Linked DNA regions of Sus scrofa. The protein of the gene in region 1 purifies or fractionates together with the protein of each later gene. This does not show direct contact. Links are inferred from orthologs where the notes say so. Each region holds a gene or a part of one and is shown on either strand. Other genes may lie near its edges.

The links.
Region 2: the proteins of MYO6 (region 1) and LRCH3 purify together in Homo sapiens (co-immunoprecipitation; 3 studies listed by BioGRID and IntAct, with this or other methods). This does not show direct contact. The link is inferred for Sus scrofa from reciprocal best matches to the Homo sapiens genes MYO6 and LRCH3.

Annotation. Positions count from the first base shown.
Region 1 is NC_010443.5:89,994,551-89,998,370, reverse strand, and holds part of MYO6 (unconventional myosin-VI), read left to right. Parts: intron 1-2,548; coding exon 2,549-2,767; intron 2,768-3,691; coding exon 3,692-3,820. UniProt on the Homo sapiens protein: Myosins are actin-based motor molecules with ATPase activity. Unconventional myosins serve in intracellular movements. Myosin 6 is a reverse-direction motor protein that moves towards the minus-end of actin filaments.
Region 2 is NC_010455.5:134,404,702-134,409,007, reverse strand, and holds the start of LRCH3 (leucine-rich repeat and calponin homology domain-containing protein 3), read right to left. Parts: upstream 2,930-4,306; 5' UTR 2,887-2,929; coding exon 2,625-2,886; intron 1-2,624. UniProt on the Homo sapiens protein: As part of the DISP complex, may regulate the association of septins with actin and thereby regulate the actin cytoskeleton.

The DNA.
Region 1 (3,820 bases):
ATCCAGTTGATATCATAATTGCACAGCCCATTGCAGTTTGAACAATAATCCACAATCCTCTGACTTGTTTATTTCTTTTTAGGGCTGTACCTGCAGCAAATGGAAGTTCCTGGGCCAGGTGGGGAATCAGAGCTGCAGCTGCCAGCCTACACCATAGCCACAACAACACTGGTTCCAAGCCACATCTGTGGCCTACTCCACAGATTGCAGCAATATCGGATCCTTAATCCAATGAGGGAGGCCAGGGATCTAACCTTGCATCTGCATAGACACTGTGTTAGGTTCTTAATCCACTGAGCCACATTGGGTACTCCTATTTTTTGATAGTTTAAAAGCTTTGAGTCATCTTTGTGTACAGTAGATTTCTTATAAGTCATTTGAGCAGTAATGATTTGAATATAATGCCATATTTATCTGCCAACTCATTGAACATGCTTTTTTTTTAAGTGCTTCTAATGGAGTTCCTTTTGTTGCTCAGTGGTTAATGAACCTGACTAGGATCCATGAGGACGTGGGTTTGATCTCCGACCTCACTCAGTGGGTTAAGGATCCAGCATTGCTATAAGCTGTGGCGTAGGTTGATTCGACTCCTAGCCTGGGAACCTCCATAATGCTGTGGGTGTGCCCCCAAATAGCAAAAAACAAAGTGCTTATACTAATTTACAGGGCTACACTTGAAACTTATTCATACTTTTAAAATAACACAATTGGATTTGAAAGAAATGATTGTTTAGAAATTAGTTTCAGGAGTTCCTTTCATGGCCCAGTGGTTATAAGGATGTGTGTTTGATCCCTAGCCTTGCTCAGTGGTTTAAGGATCTGGCATTGCCGTGAGCTGTGGTGTAGGTTCTCAGGCACAGCTTGGATCCTGCATTGCTGTGGATGTGGTGTAGGCCAGAAGCTATAGCTCCGATTAGAAGCCTAGCCTGGGAACTTCCATATGCTGCACGTACGGCCCTAAAAAGCAAAAAAAAAAAAAAAAAAAAAAAAAAAAAAAATCCAATTGAATATTTTTATTTTAAAAGAATAAAAGTAGATTAGTCTTACTGGTGGCCATTAGTATTGCAGTGTTTCTGGTCAAGGAACACTGAGCTCTAATTCACTACTTAACACAGAGGGAAGGGTTTGTTTTATAAAATGTCTTAGTTTTGAGTTAGTATACTCTCTGAAGAGTAGATAGTTTTTAAAACTTGAAATCGATACACTAAACTGTAAGTTGTTTTGAGGAAACAGGAACAAGAGAATAAATAAACTCATCTCTGTTAATGTGCTAAAGGTTACGGCTTTTTAAGTCACTAACAAATCTGGGTCTTTTCCTTTCCTTCATAGGCATATACATCTTTGCTAACTGCTTTTTGCTCTCTCTTGTTTGCATGGAAATAAATTCAGCTATTGGTAAATGTAAACCTTTTACTATTGGTGTAAAAAATAAGGAGTAATTTCATCCTTTCAGTACTTGGAAAATCTTAAAAAGGCATGTGACTGTCCTTGACTTATGCATATTATATAATTTTTCATTGACATACTTAGCTTTTCAGTGAGATTCTTAATTGAGATGCAGTCAATGATTAAAGTTGTGAGCATAGAGCCCATATTAAACAGATTTACCAAAATGACACTCCTAAAAATATAGTCATTGTACCAGAGAACTGTTTATTTTCAAAAACAAACAAAAAACAACAAAAAAACAACTTCTCATTGTTTAGTAATGAAAATTGAGCAAGGGAAAAAAGATTGCTAGGAACCCAAAGTATTAGCAGAAAAGTAAGCATTTTTCTTTTCTGTTAGCAAGGAGAACCAAATATTATACACTTTCCACTTATCTTCAGTGGATTTTTTTTCCAGAAGTCTGATTTCAGAGTAAGTGAATCTCTGAGTGAAAGTTCATGCTTACTGTTAGGGTTTTGATGTCATAAAGTTATGTTAGTAAAATGTTTGTGTTATCTGGGCCATTTTAAACCCCAAAATCAGTTGGCAAAGGAGAAAACTTTTAGGTCTTTTTGAGGAAATTGTGATTCAGTTGACAAATGCCTATAATCCTGGAGAGTTGTGAAATTACTGTCTAGTTGTTCCATCATGAATCATCCTGTAAAAGTTATTCTGCAGCCTTCACTTGAACTCCTTGGAGGAAAACTATAAGTTGAGCAAACAACACTAGTTTGCTCTCCTGCCATGTAAGATCATTTTAGTATAGGTACAATCATTTGTGGGAATCTGCTGGGAGCTGGTAGTTGTTATTGCTGCTGCTGCTGCTGCTGCTGCTGCTGCTGCTGCTGGTGTGGGTGTATGTGTGTATGTGCGTGTATATGTGTGTATGTGTATGTATATATGTGTATGTTTGCAGTGCCAAGATACATCTTCAGGGAAAGAAATTTCTAAGAAATCGCACTTAGAATTATATTCATTTATAGGCAATTCATATTTACATTTTGCTTGAAATTGACTATTAGGAACCCCTCTTCTTCCTTTTTTAAAAACAAGTGGTGCACTTTAGGATTAAAGGCTGCTTTCGTTATCCTGGTGTGACTGTCCTTATTCCCTGTGACAGCTCAGCAGAACCCAGCAGTGCAGCTCCCTGCCAGGCAGCAGGAGATCGAAATGAACCGGCAGCAGCGTTTCTTCCGCATTCCGTTCATCCGCCCTGCGGACCAGTACAAAGACCCTCAGAATAAGAAGAAAGGCTGGTGGTATGCCCATTTTGATGGACCGTGGATCGCCCGGCAAATGGAACTTCATCCTGACAAACCACCCATCCTCCTTGTGGCTGGTGTGTATGATTCACATGCAATCAAAAATAATTATAAAGCATAAAAGGACTACGTGCCCTCAGAGTGAAACAGTGTAATATACCATGATGTAATCTTTCCTTAAACTTCAGGGTCAGGAGCAGGCATGGAGTTTTGCAGTTAAGTCATCTCTGTTGAAGATCACTTATTTGTGGTGTGAGGTTGCTTGGGTTAATTATGTCCTTGTAGAACACATAGAAACTTATCTGTGTCTTAAGAACCTTTTCTTGGGTGTTTAATTGTATCATTTGCTTTCTAATGGTTAAATGTAGCCTTTTTAGTAACCCTGGTAACTGGTTTGATCAACTGCACTTTTAATACATTTTGAAAGGGTACTTGCTCAAGGACAGATTTATTTCTGGCCAATTTATTAAGCAGATTTCAATCTTGAAGGAAATAAAGGTTTTTTTAAAAAATATTTTAAAGTATAGTTGATTTACAATGTGCCAGTTTTTGCTGTATAGCAGAGTGGCTCAGTTTTATATATATAGTCTTATATTCTTTTCCATCATGTTCTGTCCCAAGAGACTGGACATAGTTCCCTATGCTATATAGTAGGCCCTCATTGTTATCCATTCTAAATGTAGTAGTTTGCATCTACTAACCACAAACTCCCCGTCCATCCCACTCCCTCCTCCCTCCCCCCTGGTAACCACCAGTCTCTTCTCTGTGAGTCTGTTTCTGTTTTATGAATAGGTTCATTTGTGCCTTACTTTAGATTCCACATGTAAATGATATCATAATGGCATTTGTCTTTTTCTGACTTCACTTAGTGTAATAATCTCTGAAATAAAGTTTTAAAAGTTCTCAAATCTCTGCAAATTGATAGACATGTCAGGAGTAAAGTTTACAGTAAATGGTTCTGGAAGGAGGTGTGGTAATTCTCTGATGTCTCGTGTTTGCAGGTAAGGATGACATGGAGATGTGTGAGCTGAATCTTGAAGAGACAGGCCTGACTCGAAAGCGTGGTGCAGAGATTTTGCCAAGACAGTTCGAAGAAATTTGGGAACGCTGTGGAGGCATCCAGTATCTTC
Region 2 (4,306 bases), on another chromosome or scaffold:
AATTTTAATCATGTCAAGTTATAAACAGTATAGGTAATATGTGCTGTTTCTTAAAATGTAAAGACAGCAGCTCTACCAGATAGAGTCTATACATTAAGAAAGAACAGACTGCGTGGCAGTTTTGATAAATATAGCACTCATATAATTTTCTTGGCTTTAAATTTTCTATAGGGTCTGAACAAAACATTTTAGCTAACATAAGGTGGGTCTGAATTCAAAGTACCCCGTGAAACAAGTAGATGATGGTTTTAGTGTTACCTCAAACAGGATCTGAATCAGGCTCAAGTCCTGGCTAATACCACTTTCCTTGGCCTTTAGCTACAGGTGTTTGAGCAAACTCTCCAAACTTGGTTTCACTATCTGTAAAAGCAGTAATGGTAATACCTATCTGTACCTAAGGAGGCTGTGTGGTATAGTGCAGAGAAGAGTAATAAGATGGACCCAGGCTGAAAGTCTACCACTAGTACTATTTATATGACTCTGAGTGATTTCTCATCTATAAGTTCTGAGTGATTCCTCATATGCAAATTTGGGATAATAATTTTTTTTTTCTTTTTTGGCCTCCCTGTGGCACATGATGTTGCCCAGCCAGGGATTAGATCTGATGCACAGTTGCAGGGATGGAACCTGTGTCCTAACACTGCAGAGACAACGATACCACAAGGACACCAATCCCGGTGCGGTGCACCACAGCAGAAACTCCAGGATAATAATATTTAATCCACTGATTGTTAAGCACTTAGAAAGGCAATGTATTTTAAAACACCTATGATAATGAATAGGAAACAGTGAAAACTCAATAATGTTATCCACATAAAATTAGACATTTAAAATAATTCAGAGACTAATTCACTATTTTTGTACTTAGCAAGGGTTGCCAAAGATTACTTATACTTAATAAGTGATATTTCTAACATGTCAGAAATGAATCTAGTCTAGTAGGTTATAAAGCACCTTGTAAACTTTTTTTTCTTTACACTTTTTGACCAGATAAAATGTTAACCAACAAAAAATTTGGTTTATGAAGAAACTTAATATTAAAGTAATAAAATAAGTGTAGATACTAATGAATTAAAAATTCAGAGCATGGTAAGGGAAAAACTCATTGGGATTACTTATTCTTCTGTATAAATGCCGTTGGGTTTTGTCGGTTAATAAAATATTTCTTAAAGGCAAAACACATTGTTCCTTTTAGAACTATTTAAAAGCAGGTAAGATAATGAGCTCGATAAACTCCTGTAATCACCTTGTTCTTTAACTTCAGGCTTAATGTAGTAATACTGAAATGACACCAATAAGAAATCACTACTCCATCCATCTCCTGAACAGAATCATGAAATCTGGGGTATGAATGACAATTTTAGATGTTTACTATCAGAACATATGTAAAAGCCAAGTGGCTGTTCATATTTAGATCAGCAGGAAAGTTTAATTTTAATGTCATTCACTAAAAAATACAAAGTATATTCAGTACAACTGTTTTCAAGAAGAGATTATAAACAAGTAGGCATCTGATTTTTTCAATTTTACACTAGAGGAAAAATTTATTTGGAAAGAATAGTTTCTTGAAGTAGTTTAACAGTTCTGTTTCTTTTTCTAACATGAGTCAGTTATGTGTAATACTTATCAATCTTAATGAGTGCACAAACATAGGAAAGGTTAAAACACAAAGTTCTACACATTCTTTGGTTGCAAAAACATATGAAAATAATTACATCATACCATACTATAAGTAAGGGGCTTTTTTTCTCCTTTATATTGATTCCCTTTTTAATCTACTCCCTGAGGAAGCTATATTTTAAACACAAGAGAAACATTATGCTGAACACCTCAGTCACCAGAGATTGTTCTCTACAACCAAGAAAATCAGATAATACTTGATTTATTATCTTTTCTGTGTTCAAAAATAAGTATACGGTAAAGTACTGGGGGGGGGGTTAAAAAGCATTAAATACAGAAACGGTAGGCAACCTATGTTTATCTTTTCTAAACAGTTTTCTTCCTTCAACTTTTCTGGAGGCCGCATGAGGAGAGAGGAAAAGAGTGGGTATCTGAAGGTGGGCTCTAGTTATTTTCACAAGTACACTGGGTAAGTCAGCTAGATGAAGGGGAAAGAGAAAAAAATTAAAGCGTTCGGGTTCACACTAAAAACACAACTCTTATAAAAAGAGGCCAGTGCAGAGAGTCATGCCCCCCTGACAATGCAGTGACCAATGCTATTCTGACCTATCATGAGCGCGCTACAATCCCAAATCTTAGCAAGTCAATCTGGCATCCCAAATTCGAAAGGGCCTGAAGAATCCCGGCGGAGCAAGGGTCTAGCTCAGCAGTGGCAGAAGTTAATTTTCTAGGAGAGTAAGACTACCCGGCAGTCCTCTACGGTGCTCTTCCCCCGCCGGGGAAGGGGGTGTTACTGTCCGCCTGGCCCCAAGCTCGGGGTCTGGCCCGCAGGCCCCGGGGCTGGGTGGGTGGGGGCCGCCAGCTTCTCCCCGTTGCCCGAGTCCCGACTCGAAGCTACGGGACCAGTTGCTGTAACCACTCGCGATTTCCCCCCCATAGGCTGGGGCCGCCTCTGGCTATGCCCCGGGCCTCCTGTAGGCAGGGATGACCCCCGCCCCACTCACCCGCACGGGTGGTGTCCGTCAGGTCGTGGTTGGCCGCTCCCCGGGGAAACTCCCTCAGTTTCCGGCCGCTCAGGCTCAGCACCCCGGTTACCGCCGCCTCCTCCAGCGCTCGGTCGAGGGAGCGGCTCCACGAGCCCGGGCCGGGACCAGGGCCTGTGCCGGAGTTTGGGCCGCAGTTAACAACGGAGAGGTTACCTCCCGACGTTCCCGGGCCAGAGTACTCTGTAGCCGTGGCCACAGCCACCAACCCTGCGGCCGCCATTTCCTAGCCGACAACTCTCTGGCCCGCCCGCGCAGCGCATGCGCGGCCAGATGATGGGTGGGCGGGGAAAGGGGCTTGCAGACCCCGGACGGGTCCCTTGATGGGCTGGGCTGCAGGGCCCCTCCGCTTACCCCGGCGCTAGCCCCCGCCCACTTGAGGTTTCCAAGCGAAATTAAAACGGAACTCACAAATTGGGAGCGGCGCCCTGCTCTAGTCCCAGTAACCTATCCGACAAGCCTCTATAAAAATACTTTTCAGACCACGCTCCTCACCAAAACTTCTCCACCGTCCTCCTTCAGTACTAGATTAAACATTAAGGCTCAATACCGTTGGTGCCAGAAATTTGGGTGGTGAGATGAGAAACATTTCCTGACTCCTGTCATTCTATAAGCCAAATGATCTCAATGGAGACTTGCAGATTTATTAACTATTATTGCCCGAGAGGAAAAGAAGTGTTAACCTGGCTCTCAAATGTCATAATTCTCACTGAAAGGGACGTATAGATATTTTAGGCCTTTCCTTTTACGAAATAGTTTAACGAAAATAAGCACCTTAAATAGTATCTGTCCCTTAGGCAAGATTGGTGAATAAAGCTGGGTGAGAGGTATTAAAGTTCAAATTTTTGGTCTGGAACCAAAATTGAGAAATATAAAATGATCTGGCCATAATCTACACGTAGGGCTTAGAGACAATTTTAAGAAATAGTCAAAAAAAAAAAGTTACTGAAAAAGTAGAAAATACTACATTTTAAACCAATTAGAGCTCATATATATTGCAACTAGTCCAGCATATTGCTGCTTTAACACACTTAAGCCATTCCTGCTAAATGATGTACATTTCCCCTACAATCAATGAACTTTTACCATGGGAAATAGACTGTCAGATACAGTCCTTTTCTTAGATTGTAATGTAATTAGAATCCGGACAAATAAACCAATTAGATTAAAACCACAAAAAAAGGGCCTAATAGGGGTGGTGGGGATTAACCACCAGAATTCAGTGAAATGCAGTCATAGATGAGGTTTTGAATCAAATCTCAAGGATTCTGATGTGAGGTATGCTGGAAGGTACATCAGCATCAACACATCCAGGTGTGATTTCTAATGGTACATGCGGAGAACATCACCACAGGCCATAAAGATCATGTCAAAGAGCAAAAGAAAATAAGGTTGGAGAGAGCCCGTCCATCATTCATGGTGCAACTCTTCAATGAAACCTTAATTAGTACTTGTCCAACTCCTAAATGCAAGGGATTGCAAAAAAGGTGGTTTTTTTTTTTTTTTTTTTTTTTTTTTTTTTTGTCTTTTTCTAAGGCCGCACCTGTGGCATATGGAGGTTCCCAGGCTAGGGATGTGATTGGAGCTGTAGCCACTGGCCTACACCAGAGCCACATCAACGCAGGATCTGAGCCATGTCTGCA